Linked DNA regions of Stegostoma tigrinum. The protein of the gene in region 2 purifies or fractionates together with the protein of the main gene of each other region. This does not show direct contact. Links are inferred from orthologs where the notes say so. Each region holds a gene or a part of one and is shown on either strand. Other genes may lie near its edges. The genes, in order: brk1 and wasf2.

Evidence for each region.
Region 1: the proteins of wasf2 (region 2) and brk1 purify together in Homo sapiens (co-immunoprecipitation; 3 studies listed by BioGRID and IntAct, with this or other methods). This does not show direct contact. The link is inferred for Stegostoma tigrinum from reciprocal best matches to the Homo sapiens genes WASF2 and BRK1.

What each region holds. Positions count from the first base shown.
Region 1 is NC_081364.1:11,922,783-11,938,128, reverse strand, and holds the start of brk1 (probable protein BRICK1), read left to right. Parts: upstream 1-9,552; 5' UTR 9,553-9,608; coding exon 9,609-9,726; intron 9,727-15,346. Other genes in the region: FANCD2 opposite strand protein-like, read right to left, coding at 4,134-4,667. UniProt on the Homo sapiens protein: Involved in regulation of actin and microtubule organization. Part of a WAVE complex that activates the Arp2/3 complex. As component of the WAVE1 complex, required for BDNF-NTRK2 endocytic trafficking and signaling from early endosomes.
Region 2 is NC_081377.1:43,675,781-43,690,831, reverse strand, and holds the start of wasf2 (wiskott-Aldrich syndrome protein family member 2), read left to right. Parts: upstream 1-8,302; 5' UTR 8,303-8,436; intron 8,437-15,051. UniProt on the Homo sapiens protein: Downstream effector molecule involved in the transmission of signals from tyrosine kinase receptors and small GTPases to the actin cytoskeleton. Promotes formation of actin filaments. Part of the WAVE complex that regulates lamellipodia formation.

The DNA.
Region 1 (15,346 bases), on a different chromosome or scaffold from region 2:
TATTAAGGACGGCTTTGCAGGGTTGATAGGGCTGTTTCTGAGGGTGTCTTTTCCACTGCCTAAACCGATGCCTGGTGATCCATCTGATTTGACATTGATTTTACGTTGACAGGCCGACGAGGGGAGAGGCCATTCTAGACTTGGTGCTCGGAAACGAGCCGGGGCAGGTATCAGATCTTGTGGTGGGGGAGCATTTTGGTGATAGTGACCATAACTGCCTCACATTTTACATAGCTATGGAGAAGGAGAGGATTAGGCAGAATGGGAGGATATTTAATTGGGGAAGAGGAAACTATGATGCGATTCGACATGAGTTAGGAAGCATGGACTGGGAGCAGTTGTTCCATGGTAAGGGAACTATAGACATGTGGAGATGGTTTAAGGAACAGTTGTTGGGAGTGATGAGTAAATATGTCCCTCTGAGACAGGCAAGAAGGGGTAAGATTAAGGAACCTTGGATGACGAGAGCGGTGGAGCTTCTAGTGAAAAGGAAGAAGGTAGCTTACATAAGGTGGAGGAAGCTAGGGTCAAGTTCAGCTAGAGAGGATTACATGCAGGCAAGGAAGGAGCTCAAAAATGGTCTGAGGAGAGCCAGGAGGGGGCACGAGAAAGGCTTGGCAGAAGGAATCCGGGAAAACACAAAGGCATTTTACACTTACGTGAGGAATAAGAGAATGGTCAAAGAAAGAGTAGGGCCGATCAGGGATAGCATAGGGAACTTGTGTGTGGAGCCTGAGGAGGTAGGGGAAGCCCTAAATGAGTTTTTTGCTTCTGTCTTTACGAAAGAAACGAACTTTGTAGTGAATGAAACCTTTGAAGAGCAGGTGTGCATGCTGGAATGGATAGAGATAGAGGAAGCTGATGTGCTGAAAATTTTGTCAAACATTAAGATTGACAAGTCGCCAGGCCCGGATCAGATTTGTCCTCGGCTGCTTTGGGAAGCGAGAAATGCAATTGCTTCGCCACTTGCGAAGATCTTTGCATCCTCGCTCTCCACTGGAGTCGTACCTGAGGACTGGAGAGAGGCAAATGTAATTCCTCTCTTCAAGAAAGGAAATAGGGAAATCCCCGGCAATTATAGACCGGTAAGTCTCACGTCTGTCGTCTGCAAGGTGTTAGAAAGGATTCTGAGGGATAAGATTTATGACCATCTGGAAGAGCATGGCTTGATCAAATACAGTCAACACGGCTTTGTGAGGGGTAGGTCATGCCTTACAAACCTTATCGAGTTTTTTTGAGGATGTGACTAGAAAGGTTGATGAGGGTCGAGCTGTGGATGTGGTGTATATGGACTTCAGTAAGGCATTTGATAAGGTTCCCCATGGAAGGCTCATTCAGAAGGTCAGGAGGAATGGGATACAGGGGAACTTAGCTGCTTGGATACAGAATTGGCTGGCCAACAGAAGACAGCGAGTGCTAGTAGAAGGAAAATATTCTGCCTGGAAGTCAGTGGTGAGTGGGGTTCCACAGGGCTCTGTCCTTGGGCCTCTACTGTTTGTAATTTTTATTAATGACTTGGACGAGGGAATTGAAGGATGGGTCAGCAAGTTTGCAGACGACACAAAGGTCGGAGGTGTCGTTGACAGTGTAGAGGGCTGTTGTAGGCTGCAGCGGGACATTGACAGGATGCAGAGATGGGCTGAGAGGTGGCAGATGGAGTTCAACCTGGATAAATGCGAGGTGATGCATTTTGGAAGGTCGAATTTGAAAGCTGAGTACAGGATTAAGGATAGGATTCTTGGCAGCGTGGAGGAACAGAGGGATCTTGGTGTGCAGATACATAGATCCCTTAAAATGGCCACCCAAGTGGACAGGGTTGTTAAGAAAGCATATGGTGTTTTGGCTTTCATTAACAGGGGGATTGAGTTTAAGAGTCGTGAGATCTTGTTGCAGCTCTATAAAACTTTGGTTAGACTGCACTTGGAATACTGCGTCCAGTTCTGGGCGCCCTATTATAGGAAAGATGTGGATGCTTTGGAGAGGGTTCAGAGGAGGTTTACCAGGATGCTGCCTGGACTGGAGGGCTTATCTTATGAAGAGAGGTTGACTGAGCTCGGTCTCTTTTCATTGGAGAAAAGGAGGAGGAGAGGTGACCTAATTGAGGTATACAAGATAATGAGAGGCATGGATAGAGTTGATAGCCAGAGACTATTTCCCAGGGCAGAAATGGCTAGCACGAGGGGTCATAGTTTTAAGCTGGTTGGTGGAAAGTATAGAGGGGATGTCAGAGGCAGGTTCTTTACGCAGAGAGTTGTGAGAGCATGGAATGCGTTGCCAGCAGCAGTTGTGGAAGCAAGGTCATTGGGGTCATTTAAGAGACTGCTGGACATGCATATGGTCACAGAAATTTGAGGGTGCATACATGAGGATCAATGGTCGGCACAACATTGTGGGCTGAAGGGCCTGTTCTGTGCTGTACTGTTCTATGTTCTATGTTCTATTTCATTTCTTTGAAACTTCATTGTGATTTGTACAACTGAATGGCTTGCCAGACCATTTCAGAGGGCAACTGAGAGTCAACCACATTGCTGTGGGCTCCATCTCAGCTTGACCAGGTGAAGGTGGCAGATTTCCTTTCCTGAAGGACGTTGGTGAACGAGATGTGTTTTTCCGACATTTGGTTTCATAGTCACCAGCAGATTCTTAATTCCAGATTTTTTTAAAAAATCGAATTCAAATTCCACTGTCTGCTGTGGTGGGATTCGAACCAGGATCCTCAGAACATTAGCTGAGTTTCTGGATTTAAAAAAATCTAGTGATAATACCAAGATAATAAAATGTGAGGCTGGATGAGCACAGCAGGCCAAGCAGCATCTCAGGAGCACAAAAGCTGACGTTTCGGGCCTAGACCCTTCATCAGAGAGGGGGATGGGGTGAGGGTTCTGGAATAAATAGGGAGAGAGGGGGAGGCGGACCAAAGATGGAGAGAAAAGAAGATAGGTGGATAGAGTATAGGTGGGGAGGTAGGGAGGGGATAGGTCAGTCCAGGGAAGACGGACAGGTCAAGGAGGTGGGATGAGGTTAGTAGGTAGATGGGGGTGCAGCTTGGGGTGGGGGGAAGGGATGGGTGAGAGGAAGAACAGGTTAGGGAGGCAGAGACAGGTTGGACTGGTTTTGGGATGCACTGGGTGGAGGGGAAGAGCTGGGCTGGTTGTGTGGTGCAGTGGCGGGAGGGGATGAACTGGGCTGGTTTAGGGATGCAGTTGGGGAAGGGGAGATTTTGAAACTGGTGAAGTCCACATTGATGTCAAGATATTGATATCAATGTGGACTTCACCAGTTTCAGGTATCAATGTGGACTTCACCAGTTTCAAAATCTCCCCTTCCCCAACTGCATCCCTAAACCAGCCCAGTTCGTCTCCTCCCCCCACTGCACCACACAACCAGCCCAGCTCTTCCCCTCCACCCAGTGCATCCCAAAACCAGTCCAACCTGTCTCTGCCTCCCTAACCTGTTCTTCCTCTCACCCATCCCTTCCCCCCACCCCAAGCCGCACCCCCATCTACCTACTAACCTCATCCCACCTCCTTGACCTGTCCGTCTTCCCTGGACTGACCTATCCCCTCCCTGCCTCCCCACCTATACTCTATCCACCTATCTTCTTTTCTCTCCATCTTCGGTCCGCCTCCCCCTCTCTCCCTATTTATTCCAGAACCCTCACCCCATCCCCCTGTCTGATGAAGGGTCTAGGCCCGAAACGTCAGCTTTTGTGCTCCTGAGATGCTGCTTGGCCTGCTGTGCTCATCCAGCCTCACATTTTATTATCTTGGATTCTCCAGCATCTGCAGTTCCTATTATCTAGTGATAATACCACTTGGCCACCTCATTAATTCCACTTGTACACACACAGAGCAGGAATAGTAGCCTGATGTCAAACTACTTCTTGCCCAATGGTTGATTTTGCTTTTAAAAAGAAAATGGTTCAAAGGCTAAGGGGAGATAAATATCTCACGTGTTTGTGTATCCCTAAGAAAAATAACAGCTACCTTCTACCCAGCAACTACAGTAGTTACAGGAAAGCTCTGCGCATGCTACTGCTCTGGCTGAAGGAATCTGTAGAGAGAAGTAATGGGAAAAAAGTTCACTTTATTTTTATTTTAAAAAGTCTTTTAAGAAACAAGTTTAGTAAAGTATCAAATTTGATGTTGTAACAGGTAAAAACATTTCTGGTAAGCTGTGTAAATCAAGGTGACAAGCCTTAATAATTGCCTATAAAACATCATGATAAAATTAATTTTATACCGTGCAGTTAAAGTCGGTATGGGGGAATCGATGCTGATCTCAGTAAAAGCTGAGCTTTCTGAAGCACGAAAGCCCCCTGCAAGTTTTGGTGCTCTGCTGGTGATAGCTCTCCCAAATACAGAATCAACGGAGCTGAGTTTGACGGGATGAGGTTTATGTATGATTGTTGCATTATCATATTCATCTTCTGAAGTGTGGCACATCTCAGAAGTGAGTTTCCCTGTGTCCCCTAGAAGATCCAAGAGATTCCAGTCATCAGTTGCGACGTCATTTTGCAGGTAGAGGGCCACTTCTTGGTCTGATGGTGAAGACATCTGTATGATCTCCGTTCCATCTCGTTTCTGAAGGGACTTGCGACCGTATCTGACCCATTGAAAATGATCCTCAAATGGAGTCCAGGGATGCCACACTTGATAGGTGGTCATCTTCAATTGTAAAGATCCCAAAAGATCAGGTTCATGAAAAGAGGGGAATTGTCAAGTTATTTATGGTTATGGTGGAAAAAAATCCAATTGCATTTGAAGATTATTTTTGACATTTGCACTGTCATATAATGTTAAACTCAAAATGCAACAACTACCATATGTCATTAATTTAGAGCAATCACGGCACCCTATTAGAAGAAGGCTAAATTTCAAAACTACTTATCCTTGCATTCAAATACCTCTATAGCTTTTCTCATCCCCATCTCCACCCCAATTTTGGACTTGTACATTCCTGGCTTTAATCCATGCTTAGTGATTAAGTATTGCTGGAGTGGAAATTTCTGCAAGTGAAAATTCCGGACAGACTGAACTGGAACTATACCGTGCCCCATCTCTAGCCACTTACGAAAAGGTGCTGTTCAGAAGGACATAAAAAATTTGGTGAGTGGGAAGATTGTTGGCAAGTGAAGTTCAATGCAGTGAATTGCAAAATGATAGATTTTGGTAAAGCCATGGAGAAATTATATAAAGGATGAAAAAAAAGGCAATGATTTAGTGGCATTATCGCTCGACCATTAATCCAGAGGGCCTCATAACATTCCCGGGACCCAGGTTCAAATCACATCATAACAAATGGTGGAATTTTACTCTATAAAAATCTGGAAAGAAGAGTCTAATGATGACTGTGAAACTATTGACAATGGCAAGGAAAAACACATCTGATTCACTTTCGGGCAAGGAAGACAAAGAATAATACAGCACAAGAACAGGTCCTTTGACCGTCCAAGCCTGAACCGTTTTGCTGTTCCATACTAAAACTGTCTTCACTTACAGGATCCATACACCTCTATTCATGTATTTGTCCAGGTGCTTCTTGAATGTTGCTACTGTGTTTGCTTCCACCACCACTCGTAGCAGTGTCTTTCAGGCACTCACCACCCTTTGTGTGAAAAACTTGCCTCTGCTAAAAATCTTCCATCTTTATCTGGTATGGCCTACATGTGACTCCAGACCCCCAGCAATGTAGTTGATTTTTAACTGCCTTCTGGGTAATTAGGGATGGGCAATAAATGCTGGCACTAGCCCACATCCTGTGGATGAATTTAGGAATAAAAAGCAGAGGGACGTTGGTATATTAAGTGCATAAGTCATTAAAAGTGACAGGATCGGCTGAGAGTACTCATGAAACATATAATAGCCTAGGCTTCATAAACAAGAAGCACAGGGTACAAGAGCAAGGCGCCAATTTGAAGTGAAGGTACTGGTGTCATGGTAATATCACTGACCTAATAATTCAGAACCCCAGGATGCCATCTGGGGACTTAGGCTCAAATCTTGTCATGGCAGGACTTGAAAATTGAATTCAATAAAAATCTGAAATTAAAAACTAGTCTAATTGAAGTAGTCAAAATTATGAAAAGTCTGAGTAGACATGAATGGGTTGAATGGCGTACTTCTGCATTGTAACAATTCTGTGTTATTATTTTAATGTTTCAGACTTTTTTTTATTGCTGCAGTACCAATGTTTAAAAGTTAGGACAAGAGCAATTATCCACCCCCTCCACCCCCCCCCCCCCATTCTTTTTACCAGTGTTTGGCAGTATTACCTTCAGCTTTCAAGGCCTTAAGCTTTAAAATTCCCTCCCCAAATCTCTTTGCCTCTGTCTCTTCTTTTAAGGCACTGAGACAGGTATGTCTTGGACCGTGGGAGTTTTGTCACCTCTTCTAATGATTCTGTTGGTTAGATGTCAGTTTTTGTCTGAATATACTCCTGTGCGGGACCTTTGCTATTTCCAAGGAGGATGAACCAAAACTACAAAGAAATAAATTGGAACGAGTGAGGATGATATGCGAAAATGAGAAAGAAAATTGGAAAATTGTTTTACTAAGATGCTGCTTGGCCTGCCGTGTTCATCCAGCCCCACACTTTGTTATCTCGGATTCACCAGCATCTGCAGTTCCCATTATCACTGACTGTATAACCAGCTTTTGATGCCAGAAAGGCACTGTATTAAGTTGTGAAGAAGACATACGGAGTCTGCAAAGGGATATAAATAGGTGAAGGGCAAAAACTCGGCAGGTTTAGTTTAAACTCACGTACAAAAACATAACATTGTTTAAATGGAGAGCGATGGCAGAACTCTACAGTACAGAGGAATAAGGATCTCTTGGTACAAGAATCACAACATTCAGTCATAATGTCATACAGTACAGAAGAGGCCCTTCAGGCCATCAAGTCTGCACCAAACTTGACACCAATCCCACTTTCCAGTACTTGGCCCATAGCCTTGAATGTTAAGGCATTTCAAATGCTCATCCACAAATGTTTTAAAGGTTGCAAGGTTTCCTACCTCAACTTCCCTCCCACGCAATGCATTTTCAGGTTCCTACCATCCTCTAGCTGAAAAGATTTTTCATCAAATTCCCTCTCAGACTCTTCTCCTTCACCTTCTAAATAAAGCCCCCTTGTTATGTCCTTTCAACAAAGGGGAACAGCTGCTTCCGTTCCAATCTGTCCATAGCCCTTGTAATCCAATACACTCTGAAGGGTTCTGATCTGAAATGTTAACTTTCCTGCTCCTCTGATGCTGCCAGGCATGCTGTGTTCCTCCAGCTCCACACTGTGTTATCACCTCAAACAGGTCATCCCTCAATCTTCTTAAACAACCTGAGCTCATCCAGCCTCTATGTGGCTAAACTGCTTCATCCCAGGCAACATCCTGGTGAATCTCCTCTGCAGGTCCTCCAGTGCATCACATCCCATTATGGGCGGCACGATGGCTCAGTGGTTAGCACTGCAGCCTCACAGTGCCAGGGACCCAGGTTCGATTCCACCCTTGGGTGACTGTCTGTGCGGAGTTCGCACATTCTCCCTGTGTTCTGTATGGGTTTCCTCCAGGTGCTCCGGTTTCCTCCCACAGTCCAAAGATGTGCAGGCTATGTGGATCGGCCATGCTAAATTGCCCATAATGTTCAGGGATGTGTGGGTAATAGGGGAATGGGTCTGGGTGGGCTGCTTCAAGGGGTGGTGTGGACTTGTTGGGCCGAAGGGCCTGTTTCCACACTGTAGGGAATCTAGTCTAAATTCTTTCTATATAATGCAGCTACATTAAGTGATTCAAAAGGCAAATTGAACATTTTCTTTTGCTAATTGCAAGGAGGACGGAATATAAATGTATGAAAAGTTTGCTACAGTTGTACAGAGTGCTGGTGAGACCACATCTAGAGTTCTGTGTACAGTTTTGATCTCCCTACTTATGGGGAAGAAAAAACATGATTTGCATTGGAAGCAGTGCAGAGAAAGTTCTTGGAATGAAGGTGGGGTAAATTACTTTGAAGAAATAATGTACAGGCTAAGTCTGTGGCCATTGGAGTTTGGAAGAATGAGAGGTGATCTTTTTGAAACATATCCTGATGGATGCCCAACATATGTTTCCCAATTTGGGAGAGTCCATATGATGGGTTACAGTTTAAAACAGCTCTCTTAGTTAAAATACAGATGAAGAGAAAAATGCTTTCTCATAAGGTTGTGAGTCTGGGAACTCTCTTCCTAAGGCTCTCTGATTTTTTTTAACGCTGATTTTGATAAATTCTTGACTAAGTAGGGAGTAAAAAGATATACAGGAAAGTTGAGATCTCAATCACATCAGCCATAACTTCATTAAATGGTGAAGCTTGCTTCAGGGGTAGAATGGCCTATTCCTAGTTCATCTGTTTCAACCATGCTTCTGCCCCCTTTGCAATTTTCATAATTGTCTAAATTTACCCCTTGTTTAATCATTACACAAATTGGTGAATGGGCTCTCATCGTGCACTGATATTGTCCCTACCTCCCAGTCGGAAAGCTGGCACACTAGTTTTGCATGCTCCATAGGGTGTGTTATACACATTCGGACAAGTTGATTAAAATGAAATCGCGACGTTTGGCGAAGTGATTGGGAGATGACGCCGTGCTAGCATTGTGGAAACCTGTAGTCGGGTGAGGGGACGGTGGTTTGCCATTTTGAGGATGGTTCGATGGGAACTAGACTTGACCTGAAGCAACATATTTTTCGGAAACGCTCACCTTTCCGATCCAAGGGGATCAGGATGAAAAAAAAACCTGGAAGGTAGGGGCTGTTTGGTCAAGTCGCACGTTCTTAGCCTCCTGATATGATGTATTTATTCGGTGAGGCATGAAAATTGCGTTCGGTTGCCTGGTTACCTACTAGGCGAATGTGTCAATGTCCATGCAACAACAACTCGATACAGCGGGATGGCAACGTCATAATGGTTGGAACGTTTGGTGATGTCTAAAGACTCTAACTTTGATACTGCATTTTTGGAAACACAAGGTTCCAAAGAAAGAGACTGCACATTTTACCAATCAGCTGGATCTGATACCACTGTTTCTCCAAGGATGAGCTTTTCCCAACAATTTCTGACTTTTTTTAAATTTCTGAGCTCCAGCACCAGTATTTTAATATTTTGTTGCCTTCATATCTATTACTGTTTCTCTCTTTCTGAATGAGTTTGAAACCAACTGGTAATTGTCACCCCGCCCTCTCATAACTTCAGCAATCCTCCAAATCTTCGATCTTCCTTTCGAGCAATTGAACGGTTCTCACCCTCGCCACTTTTCCACACCCACTCTAAAATCTCCACCAATCAAAGTTCTCGCCAATAGACTGACCAATAGGATTTTTATTTCCACGGAAAGGCGGTACCATCTTTTACGTTCTGCCAATGGAAAATCTTGTCTCGCCTTTCCCGCACCTCCAGTTCCACTTCTGTCCAATAGTCTTCGAGGAACTCGCGTCTCTGGGTCGTATGTGACCAATAAGATTGTCTAGATGGCCGGGTTTTGTGTTGCTCTGTCCAATCAACGCAGCGATTACAGTATCAGGGCGTTCCGGTCCGGGAGGAGGAGAGGGGAGGGAGAACTCGTTTGTTCTTTGGGCTATGGCGGGGCAGGGGGATCCGGTTCAGAGGGAGATCCATCAGGACTGGGCCAACAGGGAATACATTGAAGTGATCACCAGCAGCATCAAGAAGATCGCGGATTTCCTGAATTCATTCGGTAAGAAGCCTCCGGTGACAGCGCACCCACCAAAGCATTGCTTCCTGTTTAAGTCTGACTTACTGGGTGCCAGGAACGTAGGGCCTGGTTCAGCTGATGTCCTACGTTTGTCGCTGGCTTTAACTGTCGACGGTAGGGAGGAAGTTAAATTTGCATTTACTCTCCAGAGATCGTTTTAAAGGGTTATTTCGCGATGGGGCGGTGACGAACGGAAGAGACGTTCCAAATTGAGCTGTGCTTCCTTTTTGCCTATCAGTCGCCTCGCCCTGTCGTTCGTGTGTGAATCAGAGGGCTAGTAGCTATTTGACCAGAGTGGAGCAAGCTCGTCTCGGCTGGCCTTCAGACAGGGGTTACTGAAGCTAATTCGAATGCCCCACTTACCAGTGAGACGAACTCACTTAATGCAGTCTGGACGTTTAACTGGTTTTAAACTGTTCTGCGTAATGGACGTAATTGTAATGTCATGTCTTAGTTATGTTTAATAAAAGCAAAACAGTGGTGTTGGAGGTCTGAAAGAAGAACAAAAGTGCTGGAAAAAATTCAGCAGGTCTGGCAGCACCTGTGGAGAGAAGCAGCGTTTGCGTTTCGAAATCTACATGACCTCACTACTGAAGAAGTCTTACCAGACTTAAAATCCTAATTCTTTCTCTCTTCCCAGATGCCACCAGATTGCTTCAAAAATTATCAGCATACAGCGTAGAAGAGGCATTGAGTAAAAGGATAGACAAGTTGTGCTGCAGCTTTATAGATCTTTAGTTAGGCCACGCTTGGAATATCGCATACAGTTCTGGTCACCAGAAGGAAGTGGATGCTTTGGAGAGGATACAGAAAACGCATACAAGGATGTTGCCTGGTATGGGGGCTTCTAGCTATGAAGAAAGTTTGGATAGACTGAATTTGTTTCCCCTGGCAAGCAGGAGATTGAGGGGCAAGCTGATAGAAGTTTATAAGATAGAGTGGAAAGTATGAGGATTTTTCCCAGGGTGAAGAAGTCAATTACTAGGGGACACGCATTGAAGGTGTGATGGGGAGGGAAGCTTAAGAGATGTGAAAAACTTGCTGTGCACACAAGAGGTGGTGAGTACCTGGAACACACTGCCAGAGGAGGTGGTGGAAGTAAACACAGTAGCAACATTCGATAAGCACGGAGATGAATATATGAATAGGAAGGGAATAGAGGAATATGGATCCTGTAAGTGAAGACAGTTTTGGTATGGAAGGGCAAAAAGTGTTAGTATGGTCTTGAAGGGCCTGCTCCTGTGCTGTATTCTTTGTAAGAGACCCTTCGACCTCTATCAAGTCAAGATGGGCTTTTATTAAGGTAAATAGCCAAAGTCATTTTCCCAGGGTAGGGGAATCCAAAATAGAGAACGTAGCTTTTAAGGTGAGAAGAGAAAGACATAAAAGGGATCTAAGAAGGAACTTTTTCATGCAGAGGGTTGTGCATGTATGGAATAAGCTACGTGAGGTGGTGGAGGCTGATACAGTTACAGCATTGAAAAGCAGCTGAATGGATACATGATTAGGAAGGGTTTGGAGAGATATGGGCCAAATGCTGACAAATTGGACTAGATTAATTTAAGGTATCTGCTTGGTGTGATGAACTTGGACCGAAGGGACTGTTGCTATGTTGCATATCTCTATGACTCTGCGTCTTACTACCAAAAATGAACTACTATTTACACCAGTCCCACTATCCTGCACTGGGCCCGTATCCTTGAAAGTTGTGACACTTTGCTCATATGAGCAAAGATGATATGCTCATCCAAATACTTTGTAGAGGTTGTGAAGCTACCCTCCCAGACAACACATTGCAGAGCCTCATCGCACTCAGTCAAAAGGTTTTCCTCAAATGTCCTTTACACCTGCCTTTCAGTTTTGAATTATGTTCCCTTGTTGTTGTTGTCCCTTCCATTAAGGGGAACAGATGTTTTCTATTCACTGTCTGTGTGCCTCAAAGCCCACAGAAAAGTACAGCACAGGAACATTCCTTAAGCCCGCCATGTCTGTGCTGACAGTGATGCCATTCCGAACTAGTCCCATCTGTGCGCACGTGGATAGGAAAGGTTTAGACCAAATGCCAGTTCAAGTTAGAAAATCTGGTTGGCGTGGATGAGTTGGGCTGAAATGTCTGTTTCTGTACTCTGACTCAAGTTTTTCTACCCCTCTCTGCAATCTTATACACCCCTATCATATTCCGTCCTCACCATTCTGTTCTCCAAAAACAAAACATCCTGAGCATATCCAGCCTCAGTCCGGGTTGGAACATTTCAGCTGAGAACAGTGTCCAGGTGAATCTCCTTTGCACCCTTTCCAATGCAATCAGTCCTTCCCGCAGTCAGGTGACCAGATCTGCACACACTACCCCGACCTGGCCTAACCAAAGCCCTGTACAGTTTTAACATAACCTCTCTGCTGCTATAATCTGTCATGACTGATGAAGGCAGGCGTCCTGTACGCTGCCATAGCTACCCCATTAACCTGTCCTGTCACCTTCAGGGATTGATAGACCAACACCACAAGATCCATCAGTTCCCCTGAGCTTCCTGGTGTCATACCATTCATTGCATACCCCCTTAAGCTTATTCAGTATGTTCTGTTCTTGGTTAACATATGAGATATGATATAGGCCTTGCAGATTTCGCATATAAAGCTGCAGCATAAGTTGCCTATCCATTTACTCATTGCCTCTTCCAGTGAAGGCAAGCATTTTTACTTCGTATGGAAGGGTAAAATGTGCCAGCACAGTTTTGGAGGGGTGAAGAGCCTGTTCCTGTGCTGTATTGTTCTTTGTTCATTATCAGTTGATCATTGATATTTTTCACTCAACCTGTTCAGACATGTTACGATGCTTTGGAGCAGGTGGGAACTTGTAGGGACATGCAGGCCATGTCGATTAGCCATGGTAAATGCAGGGTTACAGGGATGAGGGGGCTAGGTAAGATGCTGTTCAGATGGCTGGTACAAATGGCCTCTATTGGCACTGCAGGGATTGTATGATTCTTTGACTTGAACCTGGAGCTGCTGACCCAGATGCAGGGACTCTACTGCTGTGTAACAAGGGGCTGTAAAATAATTTGACCCTTTACAATGACCATCGGGATACATGGTAACCAGAAATCCGATAAGTAAATAATTCAGAGGAAGTATCTTTACCCAAGTTGCAGAACTCACTTCACAGGGATGGTCAAGGGAAATCAGTTTACCTTTGCAGAAAAACCTGACAAACCTGTGATGGAGAAGATTATAATGGCAGATTGAGTTGAGGAAAGATAGGAGGGGGCTCATAAACCTCTTGTGGGAAGTCTAGGACAAGCGGGTATAATCTCAGTATGCCCATTAATACAGAGAGGAGGAGGAATTTCTTCTTTCAGACAATTGTGAGCTTGAGTTTATTGCACAGAACTGTTGAGTCTGCATCATTTTAAGAGTATTTCCAGGCTGAGAGAGATTTTTGTTTTATTTGGTAAGGGGTATGGGGAATAGGCAGGAAACTGGAGTTGAGGATTATTAGGTTAGTTGTGATCTCACTGGGTTCCTGGACAGACTCAATGAGCTGAATGGTCTGTTTCTTCACTTGCATCTTACAGTCAAAAATGGCATGGACTGATTGAGCTGAATGATGCGATCCTGTGCCTCAGATCCTGTCGTGAAGAGAAAAATGCTGCAATACTATCTAATTACTTATAATCTGTTACCTGAAGTTTGCTATTTTTTTCTTTGTGAATTACCTGCTGCCTTGTGTTAGTTAAGTCTAAAGCAACAGTTCATTCATAGCCATCAAATTGGGAATCTGTAAAGAAGAGCATCTATAATTCTGTAACATCAGTGAATTCCATCTCCATGTTAAAGGAAGCTTTTTTAAGGTCTCCTTTACCCTGTTAGCAGGACAGGAACGCTCTTGCCTAACTTCCAACACTACTTCAATACTTCAGTAGAGACTGTGAATAATTTTCCAGCAAATGGGGCGGCACGGTGGCTCAGTGGTTAGCACTGCAGCCTCACAACGCCAGGAACCCAGGTTCAATTCCAGCCCCAGGTGACTGTCTGTGTGGAGTTTGCACATTCTCCCCATGTCTGCGTGGGTTTCCTCTGGGTGCTCCGTTTCCTCCCACAGTCCAAAGATGTGCAGGCTAGGTGGATTGGCCATGCTAAATTGCCCGTAGTGTTCGGGGTGTGTGGGTTATAGGGGGATGGGTCTGGGTGGGATGCTTCAAGGGCCGATGTGGACTTGGGCCAAAGGGCCTGTTTCCACACTGTAGGGAATCTAATCAAATTCTTCACCTTCTTGAGTTGAGGTAAAAATGTGATCATCTGATGCCATATGCTTGTTGTGTTAATAGGGTACAAATGTTTTACCTGATGGAGGTCTGGTAGTTAGATAAGCATGTGTATTTCATAGAATTCCTACAGTGTGGAACAAGACCATTCAGTCCATCAAGTCCACAATGACCTTCTGACGAGCATCCCAACCTGAGCCACCCCTCTCCCTATCCCTATAACCCGTCATTTAGCATGGCCAATCCACCTAGTGTGCACATCTTTGGACTATGAGAGGAAACTAGTGTACAGCAGAAACCCATGAAGGCACAGGGAGAAAATGCAAACTCTAGCTGGAATTGAACCCAGACCCCTGGTGCTGTGTTGCCCTGCCTAAATGGGAAAGCATTTGTTTGAATAAGGTTGACTTTCGAGTTGTAATGAAAGTTCCGAAATGATTGATCCTATCGCTTTAAGAAGAGTATTTTGACCTGTTGTTTTTCCATTGAAGAGAGGTCTTGAGACAGTTGCAAAGCTGTCTATTGAAAGCCCATGTGTGTGTGTGTGTGTGTGTGTGTGTGGGGTTTTTTTGTTAGAAACAGTTGCAGCAATGCGGTCCAAGCTCCCACAGAACCAGGATTTTTGGTAGCTGTTGCTGAATTTTAATCTGGGTTTGGAAGCTGCAGTACATCTTTCCCTGCTATCCTCTCTCTCAGAATTTTCTCTTGATGTTTTTCCTCCTGGACTGAAGAATTGCTTGTCAGACAATCAAGTTTTCTGGATTTGACAGGGGTGTGTTTGTGGGATGTTATGATACTGGAACATGATCTATTGTTCTGTTCAGTTTTCCAGTAGAGTTAAGTTATTCCAATTTCTTTTTTTCTTTTATTGTAATTTAACTTTAGTGTATGAATAAAGTGTGTTTTGCGCCAAATCTGATAGTTTGACCAATCAAATTGCATCCAGAATGCAACACCTGGCACTTGCCTTTAAAAGAAAAAATAGTTAGCGTCAAGGCTAACTTAATTTTGAGGGGGTTTGGTGTGGTTCATAATATGATTGAGTTTTGAAGTGTTGTTTCTTCTGCCTATGCTTTTTTTTGTAGCCTGTGGTTTGAGTACTTGTGAGAATCAATTAATGCTCCCTTCCTGATTTCCGAGCGCGCTCTCTGGCCTGCCCACAAACATAGCTCGGCGAGTTTCTCATCTCAGCTATGAGATGAGCTTAATATGGGCCATAACTTGCCACTCTGAACTCTTATTATTTGTAACTGCTGCTACTGTGCAACCAGGGAGGAACAATTCTAGTCAAGCAATTAATTTTATTTTATCTCGGACAACGGACTGGGTCACTTCCTCAT
Region 2 (15,051 bases):
AGTAATCTGCTAATTAAGAAAAGAGTCCAAAGTGTTAAAGGCAAGGTACTGGCATTGATAGAGGATTGGTTGACTGACTTAATGCTGCTTCCATGCGTTGTGGTTTTATGGGCTGTGGTGGTGTTTTCCTTGTGTTTCCAGCAAAGGTTGAGGGTATAGAAGTGTGTAAAATTAGGAGGGTCATTGATACCACAGACAGAAAAGAACGTTGTCTATTAGTAGAGAGGTCAATAGCCAGTGGATATACATTTCAGAGAGAAGTAGAGGCTAACAGAAGGGTTGAGGGGAATGTTTTTTACTCACAGGGGTGTGGGAATCTGCCTAAAGGGCTGGATAAATCAGAAACTCCTATAAAATTTCAGCAGAATTTAGGTGAGCACTTGTATCACCATCACCTTCAGGCTACGGGCTAAAGACTAAAAAATGAAATAACTCCTAATCGATCTTTGTTGACTGGTAGAGGCATGACTAGCTGAAGGCCTCCTTCTGCGCTGTAACACTTTTCTTTACTTTTCTCATTTTTTTCCCTAAGAACTTGTGTTGAAGATGCTTTTCTTCAAGCTTGTGCTAGGCTTCACTGCAGCATTGCAGCAAGCCCGAGTTACAGATGTTAGCCAGGGAACAGGGTGGTGTGTTGAAGTGGCAGGTAATCGGAAGTTCGGGGTTTTTATTTTAGGGCCTCTTTACCCCAAAACCCACACACCAGGCCTTGTCATCAGAGATATTGGGAACTGCAGATGCTGGAGAATCCAAGATAACAAAGTGTAGAGCTGGATGAACACAGCAGGCCAAGCAGCAACTCCTAAGATGCTGCTTGGCCTGCTGTGTTCATCCAAGCCTTGTCATCACACAGGTCATTACCACACATAAATTATTGCCAGCTACTAATCATCCCCATTAGCAATTGTTCATTCTCCCAGGCTGACCTTTACCCACTCCTCTTTAAGTCCAACTGATTTTCTCTCTCTTTGGGCTCTACCTCCACCCACCGTTTACTCCTTGCCCTTCCCTCCACACCATATCTTCTGCATAAGTACCAAACTTATCCACGCTACCAACCAATCTGAAGAAGGGTCTCTGAAGCCAAAATGTTAACTCTGATTTCTCTCCACTGTTGCTGTCAGACCTGCTGAGCTTTTCCAGCAACTTCTATGGGCAGCATGGTGGCTCAGTGGTTGGTGCTGCTGCCTCACAATGCCAGGAATCCAAGTCCAATTCCAGCCTTGGGTGACTGTCTGTGTGGAGTCTGCACATTGACTGTGTGGGTTTCCCCCAGATGCTCCGCTTTCCTACAACAGTCCAAGGATGAGACAACAAGGTGCAGAGCTGGATGAACACAGCAGGCCAAGCAGTATCATATGCAGGAAAGCTGATGTTTCAGGCTGAAGAAGGGTCTAGGCTCTACACCTTGTTATCCCAGATTCTCCAGCATCTGTAGTTCCTACTATCTCTGACACAGTCCAAGGATGTGCAGGTTAGGGTGGATTGGCCATTGTGCCAGGGATGTGCAAGTTAGGTAGGTTAGCCATGAGAAATGGAGGGTTATAGTTTAGGGGATGGGTCTGGGTGGGATATACTTTGGAGAGTTGGTGTAGACTCGATGGGCTGAATGGCTTGCTTCCACACTGTAGGGATTCTACGATTACTGTTTTTGTTTCTAACTTCCTGCATTTGCAGTTACCACTTTTTTCTTGTTTATAGAAAAGTACGAATCCGGAAAGGGAGCTTATGATTGCTCCATCATTCAGTAAGTCCATGGTTGATCTAATAACACCACATTCCTGTTTATTCCCAACAGCCTTTCACTTCCTTGCACAGTTGTCAGTCAAGAAACAGTATTGCTTACATATGAATTTTTCATCGCTATTTTAAAGTATAGGCCAGAAATAAAGTGATCAGTTCTCTTTCTAAATCAAAAGCAAACTGTAGCAAATGTTACAAATCTGAAATAAAAACAGAAAATACTAGAAATACACAGCAGGCCTTGCAGCATTTGTATAAAGCAAATTAAAGTTCATGTTTTTGACCCTACGTGACAATTTCAGTTATTCTGCCTCTTGATTTAGTTTTTCCTGTTAATATTCTCCAGCCACACAGCTCTCCATGTTCTCTGTGCTCCTTCATTTCTGGCCTCTTCAGCAATACCAATATCAACAGCAAAAACCGAAATGCTGGAAAAACTCAGAAGAAGGATCACTGGACCAGAAACATTAACTCTGATTTCACCCAGTAGAAGCTGCCGGACCTGCTGAGCTTTTCCAGTAATCTCTCTTTTTGTTTATGATTCCCAGCATCTGCTGTTATTTTAGTGTTTTTTTGCCCAATATTAACTGCTCCGCCTTCATCTCCAGAATTCTTTTCTTAAATCTCCCCATCCAGGCCTCTTCCTGCTAATTAAAGACACTCCTTAGAACTACTTCATATCTGGATAAGTGTCAAATCTGTCTTTTCAATGTTTCTGTAAAGTATCTTTACCACTTTTAAGGTGCTGTGTAAATACAAAGTACTATTGGTTCCAATTGTTCTGTGTGTTATTTCTGTCCCTTAATAAATATTAATTAGTACACTAATTAATTAACTTAATTAATAATATTAATTAAATAGTGTAGCCATCAGAATAGAACTTTCCAATGTCTTTGTCAAGACAAGAAGTTACAAGAATGGTTCATATTGTTTTCAAAACAGATATAAAGGGTTTGATTGCTTACCCTGGGAATACAATGCTTCTCTTAACATATGAGGTACTAGTTGGCAATGAACAGTAACTTCTAATGTGAAGCATGAATGGAAAACGTCAGACAGAAGGCTGAAATGTAACACAAATTACAGCGGTACTTTTTAATGATTTCAATGGTGTCACATATCCTGTCACACATCTAGAATTTTTTAAATATCTACTAAAGTTAGTTTTGAAATACAGTGAGTCAAGGCCTAGATTCTTGTTAATGAACATTAACAGGCCATAACCATATATAGGACGTCTTGTGGTCTTGCAGGCCTCACTCTCTCTCTCTGCATTCTTGCAGCCCCCATTCTCTCTCTGTCTGTGTTCTTGCAGCCCCCTCTCTCTCTGCATTCTTGCAGCCCCCTCTCTGCGTTCTTGCAGACCTCACTCTCTCGCTTTCTCTCTGCGTTCTTGCAGCCCCCACTCTCTCTGCATTCTTGCAGCCCCCTCTCTGCGTTCTTGCAGACCTCACTCTCTCGCTTTCTCTCTGCGTTCTTGCAGCCCCCACTCTCTCTGCATTCTTGCATCCCTCGGTCTCTCTCTCTGCGTTCTTGCAGCCCCCACTCTTTCTCTTTCTCTCTCTCTCTCTCACATCCCACTCTCTCTCATTGCATTCTTGCAGCCCCACTCTCTCTCTGTCTGTGTTCTTACAGCCTACTCTCTCTCTGTCGGCGTTCTTGCAGCCCCCTCTCTCTCTGCGTTCTTGCAGACCTCACTCTCTCGCTTTCTCTCTGCGTTCTTGCAGCCCCACTCTCTCTGCATTCTTGCAGCCCTCGGTCTCTCTCTCTGCGTTCTTGCAGCCCCCACTCTTTCTCTTTCTCACTCTCTCTCTCACACCTCACTCTCTCTCTTTGCATTCTTGCAGCCCCACTCTCTCTCTGTCTGCGTTCTTGCAGCCCCCTCTCTCTCTGCATTCTTGCAGACTTCACTCGCTCTGCGTTCTTGCAGACCTCACTCTCTCTCTTTCTCTCTGCGTTCTTGCAGCCCCCACTCTTTCTCTTTCTCTCGCACCCTCTGTGACTTGACAGTGCCACTTCACTCTTTCTCTCTCTCTCTCTCTCTCTGTGATCTGACAGTCATAGAGTCACAGAGCCATACAGCACGGAAACAGGCCCTTCGGCCCAAAACATCCATGCCAACCAGATTTCCTAAACTGAACTAGTCACATTTTCCAGCGATTTAGCTGATATCCCTCTAAACCCTTCCTGTCCGAATGTCTTTTTAAGTGTTGTAATTGTACTCTTCTCTACTACTACTTCTGGCAGCTTGTTCCATGTAGTTGGCACCCTCTGTGTGAAAAAGTTGCCACTAAGGTCCCTTTTAAGTCTTTTCCCTGACACCTCAAAGCTATGCCCTCTACTCCCCAACCGTGGGGAAAAGACCTTGGCTAATCACCTTAAGGATGTCCTTCATTATTATATAAACCTCTATGAGGTCACCTCTCAGCCTCCAATGCTCCGGGGAACAAAAATCCCAGCCTATGCAGCCTCTCCTTTACCTCAAACCTCCCAGTCTCGATAGCATTCCTGAAAATCTTTCTTGTGCCATTTCCAATTTAATAAAATCCTTCCCATAGCAGGGCAACTAGAATTGTATGAATTTCTCCACATGTGGCCTTACCAACGTCTGGTACAGTTGTAACATGATGTCCCAACTCCTATACTCAATGCTCTGACCAATGAAGGTAAGCGTACCAAACACTTTCTTCACCACCCTTTCTACCTGTGAGGTCACTTTCAAAGAACTATGTAGCTGTACCCTCGATCTTTCTGCCTTACAACATTCCCCAGGACTATACCATTAACTGTGTAAGTCCTGTCCTGGTTTGTCTAACCAAAATGCAATACCTCACATTCATCTGAATTAATATCCCTCTGACCTTCCTTGGCCCATTGGCCCAGCTGATCAAGATCTTGTTGCACTCTGAGGTAACCTTCTACACTGTTTTGGCGTTATCTGCAGAAGTACTAGCCATGCCTCCTATATTCTTATCCAAATCATTTCTGTAAATGATGAACGACAGTAAACATAGCACTGATCCCCATGGCACACTGCTAATCACAGGCCTCCAGTCTGAGCCACAAAGCTCTATCATCATTCTGTCTCCTATCCTCCCTCTCTGTATCTCTCTGTCTGTGACCTAACACTTTCCCCATGCTCTCTCTCTCTCTGTCTGTGATCTGGTAGGTCCCTTGTTCTTTCTCTGTGATCTAATAGCCTCCCACATGCTCTGCTTCTGTCATCTGACACTTCCCCTACTCTCTGTGTGAGCTGGTATATCCCTCATTCTCTTGTGATCTGACAATCCCCACACTCTCTCTGTATGATCTGGCAGTTATCCATGCTGCCCTGTTATCTGACAATCCCCACACCCACTATCTTCAATTTGGTTGATCCCGCCTCCCGAATCACTTTCTGTGATCTGACAGCCTCCCCACTATCTGTGATCTGGTAGATCCTTACCTCTCTCGGTGATACAACAAAGAAGAAAACAAAGAAAATTACAGCACAGGAACAGGCCTTCGGCCCTCCAAGCCAGCGTCGATCGAGATCCTCTGTCTAACCTGTCATCTATTTTCTAAGGGTCTGTGTCCATTTGCTCCCTGCTCATCCATGTACCTGTCCAGATATATCTTAAAAGATGCTAACGTGTCTGCGTCTACCACCTCCGCTGGCAACGCGTTCCAGGCACCCACCACCCTCTGTGTAAAGAACTATCCACGCATATCTTCCTTAAACTTTCCTGGCAGTTATATATATATCCTGGCAGCTATATGATCTGGCAGTTCCCATTCTCTCTCTGTGATCTGAAAGTCTCTCCGTTACCAGTGATCTGGTAGATAGCCCTACTCTCTGTGATCTGATGGTCCCTGCCCCCACAATCTGTGATCTAGTATATTCCGTCACTCTGTTATCTGACAGTCCACCCTTCCCCCACTATGTGTGATCTGGTAGATCCTGCTCTCTCTGTGACCTGACAATATCCCATCCCTCTGCAATCAGGCGGTCTCCTCCTCTATTTCTTTGATCTGACAGAATCCCCTCTCTCTGTGATCTGGTAGATTCCCACCCTCTGTAATCTGGCTGTTCTGGCACCCCCTGTCCTGCTGTGTGATCTGGTAGAATCCCCCCCCCCCCGCCCCCCCCCCCCCCGGTAATCTGACAGTGATTCCCCCCCTCTACAATATGACCGTGCTCCCCCCAACTCTGTATTTCTGGCAGTATTCTCCCACCCGCCGTATTTCTGGCAGTGTTCCCCCCCGCTGTAATCTGACAGTGTTCCCCTCTCTCTGTAATCAGACAGTGTCCCCCTCTCTGTAATCTGACGGTGTTTCCCCCTCTGTAATCTGACAGTATTCCCCCCCTCTGTAATCTGACAGTGTTCCCCTCTCTCTGTAATCAAACAGCGTCCCCCTCTCTGTAATCTGACGGTGTTCCCCCCCTGTAATCTGATGGTGTCCCCCAACCCTCTGTAATCTGACGGTGTTCCCACCCCGTATGGAATCTGATGGTGTCCCCCAACTATGTAGTCTGATAGTGCATCCCCTCCTGTAATCTAACGGTGTTCCCCCCCGCCCCACCGTGTAATCTGATGGTGTCCCCCGGCCTCTGTAATCTGACGGTGTTCCCCCCGTCTCTGTAATCTGACAGTGTTCCCCCCTCTCTGTAATCTGAAGGTGTTCCCCCCCCTCTATAATCTGACGGTGTCCCTCCTCCCTCTCTGTAATCTAACGGTGATCCCCCCGTCTGTAATCTGACAGTTCCCCCCCCCCCACTCACTGTAATCTGACGGTGTTTCCCCCCCACTCTCTGTAATCTGATGGTGTTCCCCCCCCCGTAATCTGACGGTGTTCCACCCCCCACTTTCTGTAATATGATGGTGTTCCCCCCGTAATCTGACAGTGTTCCCCTCCCACTGTCTGTAATCTGACAGTGTTCCCCCCCACTGTCTGTAATCTGACAGTGTCCCCCCCACTCTCTGTAATCTGACAGTGTTTCCCCCCACTCTCTGTAATCTGACAGTGTCCCCCCCTGTAATCTGAGTGTCTCCCCCCCTGTAATCTGAGTGTCTCCCCCCCGTAATCTGACAGTGTCTCCCCCCCGTAATCTGACAGTGTCCCCCCCACTCTCTGTAATCTGACAGTGTCTCCCCCTGACTCTCTGTAATCTGACAGTGTATCCCACCCAACACCCCCCACTCTCTGTAATCTGACAGTGTTTCCCCCCCCCCCACCGCCCACTCTCTGTAATCTGACAGTTCCCCCCTGACTCTCTGTAATCTGACAGTGTCCCCCCCCAACTCTCTGTAATCTGACAGTGTCCCCCCTCCACTCTCTGTAATATGACAGTGTCCGCCCCCCACTCTCTGTAATCTGACAGTGTCTCCCCCTCCCCACTCTCTGTAATCTGACAGTGTCCCCCTCCACTCTCTGTAATCTGACAGTGTTCCCCCCCCCACACTCTGTAATCTGACAGTGTCCCCCTCCACTCTCTGTAATCTGACAGTGTCCCCCCCAACTCTCTGTAATCTGACAGTGTCTCCCCCTCGGTAATCTGAGTGTCTCCCCCCCGTAATCTGACAGTGTCTCCCCCCCGTAATCTGACAGTGCCCCCCCACTCTATGTAATCTGACAGTGTCCCCCTCCCCCCTGTAATCTGACAGTGTTCCCCCCCATAATCTGACAGTGCCTCCCCCCCACTCTCTGTAATCTGACAGTGTTCCCCCCACACTCTGTAATCTGACAGTGCCTCCCCCCCACTCTCTGTAATCTGACAGTGTCCCCCCCCCACACTCTGTAATCTGACAGTGCCTCCCCCCCACTCTCTGTAATCTGACAGTGTTCCCCCCCCACACTCTGTAATCTGACAGTGCCTCCCCCCCACTCTCTGTTATCTGACAGTGTTCCCCCCCCACACTCTGTAATCTGACAGTGTCCCCCTCCACTCTCTGTAATCTGACAGTTTCTCCCCCCCCCACACTCTGTAATCTGACAGTGTCCCCTCCCCTCACTCTGTAATCTGACAGTTTCTCCCCCCCCCACTCTCTGTAATCTGACAGTGTTCCCCCCTCTGTAATCTGACAGTTTCTCCCCCCCCCACTCTCTGTAATCTGACAGTTTCTCCCCCCCACCCACTCTCTGTAATCTGACAGTTTCTCCCCCCCCCCACCACTCTCTGTAATCTGACAGTTTCTCCCCCCCCCCCCCCCTCTCTGTAATCTGACAGTGTTTCCTCCCCGATTTTTGCAGGTTTTGCTCAGACCTGTTGAGGTATGTGCAACATTTGGAAAAGACCATAACGCCCAATGAAGAGGGGTAAACCGTAATATATACAGGTCCCAGAAGAAATTCTCTAGTCAACCTCTTGTCCCGTCCTGACTTAGCAAAATTTGATTTTAATTTTTTACCAGGAACAATGAAGCATTAAAAGAGCTACCCCTGTTTTAAGTGTATATCTCATTGTTATTAAATATTTTTCTCCCTCCTCCATCCGTAATGGTTTCTCCCGGATCAAACGCGGATACACGCTCACACCACCAAACGTGTGCTGTCAGTATGATTGCCGGCTGCGTTGTCCAATCAGAATGCGGATGTACCGGAAGCGGATCTGGAATCCCCTGTGTGGGTGTGGCTATGGTGGAGAGTTGGGGGGAATCAGGGCGGATGGCGGTTGTCTTCTAAGATGCGGGTTCGCGTCGGCAATCAGTTCGAGTGAGTTTCTGTCTGTCACGTCTTCTCATCTGGGCCGTTTCGGGCTACGGCCCCGGAGGTTTCGAACTTGGTGTGGTGGGCCGCGGCTTCAGTTTGTGCCGAATAGTGAGCGTTCAACCCGGAGCCGGGGGCAGCCGTGTCACCCACCCCCCCCCCCCCACCGCCTCCCCTCACCCCCCCCAACCACCGCCTCCCCTCACCCATCCCCCTACCGCCTCCAGCCCTCCCCACCCCCCTACCGCCTCCAGCCCTCCCCCCCCCACCGCCTCCCCTCCCCACCCCCCCACCGCCTCCCCTCACCCATCCCTCCCGCCTCCCCTCACCCATCCCTCCCGCCTCCCCTCACCCATCCCCCCCCCTACCGCCTCCAGCCCTCTCCCCCCCTCACCCATCCCCCCCCCTCACCGCTTACACTTCCACCCCCCCTCCGCCTCCAGCCCTCTCCCCCCCTCCCCGCCTCCCCTCACCCACCCCCTCCCTCACCGCTTCCACCTCCACCCCACCCCTCACCGCTTCCACCCCCCCACCCCCGCCCCTCGCTGCCTCCCCCCACCCAACAGGGCACTGAATGATTGATTATTTAGATGAAAATAATGTGCTAGGAAATGATAGAAAAGCTGGAGGTTGGCGTGAGGTAATGATGCTAGTTTATTGAGCTGGTGCAGATACAATGGGCCCAATGGCCTCTTATACCACTACAACCAGTGCAAAAATTGAACCCTGTTGACATCAATCAGCATTGAGGACTCATCCTGGGGCCTGCAACTGAAAATAATTGAGGAAAAGAAGGCTTTGCAAAAAACAAAAACAGAGATAGGTTTGGCAGCTATGAGTTTATGCAGCATTGGTGGAGAGAAAGCGCAACATTCAGAGTCCTGTAGCTCCTTCAGAATCTGTTCTGAAGAGTGGACAGAAGACATGAAACATTAACTGTTTTCTCCCACAGATGCTGCCACATGAGTTTCTGCAGCAACTTCTGTTTGTTTCAGATCTCTAGCATCTGCAGTTCTTTGTACTATTTAAGAGTTTAGTAATATTTGCCTTGACATTATTGAAAGTTGTATTTGTTTGGTGTTGAAAATCAATGGCCATAAACTGGTTAGATTTTCTTGACATAAGAGATGGGAAAAATTGCCAAAATGTTTCAATTTCAGGCAAAGCTTTGTGCAATTGCCCACTTTGGTCATTTAAACTTTCATTTTGAGGAAGGGGGAAATACTTTGTTCCGGATTGTGGTGAATTTAACCTTTCTGTCTGCTGTTAAGGAAGGCACCTCATTTCTCATACTTTTTATTCTTCCTCAATTGGATTATTTGAAATAAAGTTGAACTTTGTAATTTGATGGAATTTCCTAAAGAAAATATATTTTGTTGCCCTGGTTTTTAGTGTAATGTTTTTTAAAGAAAAAGTACTGTGAAGCTTTCAAAATGTCTTTCTTTCCCATGGCTTGTCTTATCAAGAAAAAGACATTTGTTTGTCAAAATAGAATCTGGTATGTTGTTGCAAAGTTAGAAGTTGGCATGTCATAATGTTGAACGTTTGCACAGCCATTCCAATCATTGAGTCATACTTGGGTGTGTACGCAGCTATTCTTGTCTTCCCACAAGCCATTGCTTTTGTATGTAATGTATGTTGAGGGAAGACATTTGAATCTGATTAGTTTCAAGCTGCGTTTTGAAGTCTAAAAATGTAAGCTTTTTCTAGAGCCAGAAGTTGCAATTAACAGATGCAACACATCAGAATCTGATGTAATCAGAAATCTTCAAAATGTTGTGTAGATTTACTATAAAAAGACTGGAGCGGGGTGGGGGGAAAGAAATTGACTTGTAATCTAGTTAGTTGTCTTGTTAATTGACCAAACACCAGACCTGGACTGCATACTGGCCACAATGTTTATTTTTCTTCTGATCGTGGGACTTGTAAGTAATTAAATTACTTTAGGAGCTGGCAGTAAGTTGGAGGTTGCATATCTTCATGTTGAAGATGTTTGCTCCTAAAAACTTGGTGTTATTGCTTTGAATCTCAGGGCAAGGTGGGCTTCTACACCACAGCCAAATTTCGGGTGGTAAATTAAAAAGCAATCTTTGGCATTAACTCGCTGAAGCCTTTGGGGCCTTTACAAAGGATAGTAAGCTCTTGGAATTTGAAGTCTCTAAGATTTTTAAGAAATGTGTTGCTCTGAAGGCAACATGGAAATTTTATTCGCCACAGGCTATTTCTGATTAGTCTTTGGACAATCCAAATTTCTGTTTGGTATGTTCGTATTTAATGTCATTGACACTGATTCAGAGTTAAAGGATCCCTTGGTAATACATTTAACAGCCCTGGAGCATCATTGTCAGATTTTTCTCATGGGGGTTAAGGAAAGAGGAAAAAGCAAAATATAGTTACCCCCATCCACTCCAGTCTGTCATCTAAGAATTCTTCTGCCCGGACCTTTTAACTTGCTTCCTCATAGGAGCATGAGGATGAAATAAAGGAAAAAGACCTGCCTTTATATACCATATTTCAAGACTACCTGACAAGTGGAGTTCTTCTGAAGCCTTCAGAGATAGTAGGAACTGCAAATGCTGGAGAATCTGAGATAACAAGGTGTAGAGCTGGATGAACACAGGTCGAGCAGGAAGGCTGAAGTTTCGGGCCTAGACCCTTTTTCAGAAAATTTTCTGAAATTTTTTGTTATCTCTGCTTCTGAAGCCTAGTCATTTATAGCGTAGGAAACACAACAGCCAACTTGTGATTAAATAGTGACCTTTGTTACAGCAGTGCTCCCTTGGTGCAGCATTGGACTGAGTCTTTTGACTTTTCTCCTGAAGCCCTGGGGTGGGAACTGAATCTCATACCTTATGACAGTGAAGTGAGACTGCTGTAAACTGCCATGGCTGACGTTCCTGCAGAATATACACCATTATCAGGATTTAAGGAAGACTGTTGCTCTGCTGACACTAGTATGCCCATCAGAAAACGTTAGATGAGCACATGTAATACCTGTGCTAATTTCAGCTACCTACTGTGTCCAGGCAGTTTTACTTAACCATAATTCTGCGAAGTTAGCTGGAAAATGTTTTTGAATTATATAGTATTTAAATAAGGTAAACTGAAGAGTGTCATTAAACCAGGCAACATCAGATATTTTTAAATGTTCTTCAATGCATTCTATTTTACAGTAAACATTGACCTCAATAAATTCTTGAGGCACTGTTAAATATTTTAATTCTTCATTTAATGTGTAGGCTAGGTTGTGTGACACTGAATTTGCTGTCTGTATGCTGAAAGTAGCAAATTACATGACTTAAAGGCATTTTGACTGGAGTTATAAATATTATCTGGACCTAGAGACAATGGTTTGATGGGCATCCTTGTGCTATGATTTGCTGTAAATGGGCATGAACTTAAAGGGATAATAAAATGTGAGGCTGGATGAACACAGCAGGCCAAGCCGCATCTCAGGAGCACAAAAGCTGACGTTTCGGGCCTAGACCCTTCATCAGAGCTCTCTGATGAAGGGTCTAGGCCCGAAACGTCAGCTTTTGTGCTCCTGAGATGCGGCTTGGCCTGCTGTGTTCATCCAGCCTCACATTTTATTATCTTGGAATCTCCAGCATCTGCAGTTCCCATTATCTCATGAACTTAAAGGGATGTGTTTTTGCAAATACAAATGTTTCGACTGTAGCATTTAATAACCTTTGCACATCATAAACTTAGCGTAACAAGCATAAACGATTAATTTTGTAATTGTTGAGACAAGAGAATAATGAAGCTGACCAGACTCTCTGAAATATTTGGCTGGATATACTGAGCTGTGTTAGCTTTTGAGATTAGATTGGAGAGGTGGATAAAGAGAATAGGAACAGCGGGGGTAAATGTAATTAGATAATTTGTTTATATGAAGAAACATTAGCTTGTTTCTTGATTACAGCATGTACTTCTGTTTACATACAATGGAAGTTTTTTTGTTTTGTGTAGTTTCCTCAATGATTTTATGCTCAATCCTTTTAAGAAGAGGAGTACGACGAACCTTGTTGGTTACATTTTGTGTTGTTTTTAATTGTCGCAGGTAGTGCAGGAGTTATGATGTTTGACTCCTAAATTGTTATCTGTTCAATTAAGACCGCTTGATATTGAAATCTTAATTTCAGAATCTACTAAAGTCTATACATGGCATGCAACTCTAAACTGTTTCATAAATTAAGCAGTTGTATAATTAATCTGGTAAATAGGATTTGAAAAATTCAATCATCTTTGACCTCTGTGACAAAAATATGCCAGCTTGTACTGCATTTTTTGTAAATGCTAACTGAGTGAAAACTATGTAACTCCAAATGTACAAAATGTTGCTGTGAAAGCTAGCACAAAGTGAGATTGACAGCAGATGTTCAAAACATGTTTTTCCTTCCCTTCAGTATAATTTGAAGTTAGTTTGTCACATGCAGTAAGGCTAATTTTTATATATAATAATTGATATTCCAATCAGATGCTCACCAAAATGAATAACAAAAGTTATAACTGATCTTATTTAGATTAGATTCTTAGATCCCCTACAGTGTGGAAACAGGCCCTTCAGCCCAACAAGTCCACACCTACCCTTGAAGCATCCCACCCAGAACTACCCTGTATAATCCACACACCCCTGAACAGTACGGGCAATTTAGCAAGGCCAATCCACCTAACCTGCACATCTTTGGACTGTGGGAGGAAACTGGAGCACCCGGAGAAAACCCACGCAAACACGGGGAGAATGTGCAAACTCCACACAGACAGTCGCCCAAGGTGGGAATCGAACCCGGGTCCCTGGCGCTGTGAGGCTGCAGTGCTAACCACTGAGCCACTGCCGTATTCTTACTTGGCTTTTATCATTTCTTTCTATTTTGCTGGATGGTGTGGGTTCAGAGCTCTGAAAATCAATCATGGCTTCCCTGTGATCTGACTCCACTTTATTCTTGCTTTTGTAGTCAACAGAATAACCAGTTGCTTGTAATATGTTAGGGACCCCTCATAAAATTTAAGTTGGTGGGAATCAAAAAAATCTCTCCACTGGCTGAAGCCACATTTAACCTTAAGGAAGATTGCAGTGTTTGTTGAAGGCCTGTCATCTCACTTCCATGAAACTGGCACAGGAATTCTTCAGGGCATGTTCTCTGCCCAACCATCTTGAATGGCTCCATCAATGACCTTCCCTCCATCACAAGGCCAGAAATTGAGATATTCAATTTGTCCAAATGTAACAGGGCTGGGACATTATTTAAGCTTCAGCTAATAAGAGATAAGTAACACTTTTACCACACAAGTGCCAGGCAATGACCATCTCATCATATTACCAAAAATATGAAACTGAATCTTATCGACCATATAAATGGTGTGGCTACAAGAGTAGGTCAAATGAATACAATCACCTATTGACTGCCAAAGCTGCATCTTCTATGAAGAATAAGTCATGACTGTGATGGAATATGTTCCGTTTGTCTGGATCGGTGCAGCTCCAACAATGATCAATAGCTTGACGCCACTGAGGAGAAAGGAGACTTGCTCTGTACCCTATTCTCCATGTGAAAAGTTCAACCCCTCACCGATGACAGCAGCATACATATTGCTGTAATTCACCATGACTCCTTCAGCAGCTTTCAAACTAATACCTCAATTATCTGAATAAGCAAGGGCACCAGATGTGCAAAGACACAATTCTGATTCTCTCCAAGGCTTGCTAAATCAAGTTGGGATTAAATCACTGTTCAAAAACTTGAAGTTTTCTTCTTAACAGAATTATCAATGTACCTAGAGCACCATGGTCTTTCTCAGTTTGAGAGAGTGGGAAACCTACCCAACTTGGAGTCCTTTGAGGATTAGCAGTGTGTGCTGGAATTACCATGCTAATGTCCCATTGACAAAAACAAAGTTTCCTCTGTACATTGGCTGCAAGGTTCTATCAGATGCTCTTATGTGAATTTTTTTCTGTTATAGATTGGTAAGTGTTTCTTTTTCAACCATGCTGCTTGAAACTGGTTGTTTCTCAAACTTAAGATTTAGAACAAACAAACCTTGTTTAACCCCCTGTAATATATTTCCAAGTGTGCAATTTGCCAGCTGTCTTACCATGTGGCCAATTATGATAAATAGAATTCTCCACCGCAGTGATTTAGACAGGATGCAAGTGGGCAAATGCACAGCAGAATTATTGTAATGTGATAGGTGTGAAGTTATCCATTTTCATGGGAAATGTAGAATGGCAGTGCATTGTTTTAAGTGGTGATGTTGGGAAATGATGCACAAAAGGACATGGCTATCCTTGTGTGTCAGTCACAGAAATGTGGATGCAACATGCAGTTAGGAAAACAGGTAGTATGTTGGCATTCATTGCAAGAGGATTTGAGGAGAAGAGCAAGAAAGTCCTTCTGATTCTGTATGCTGCCTTGATGAGACCAAACCTGGAGTATTGTGTGTTTTTTTTCTCCCCCCATCTCTTGGTATACTGCAATCCTTCTAACAAGTTTCTTTTAAAGGTTCACCAGACTGATTTCTGTGGTCGCAGATTTGTCGTATGAGGAGAGATTGGGTTCTCCGGGCTGGTATTCACTGGAGTTTAGAATGAGAGGGGATCTCATTGAAACATTAAATTGA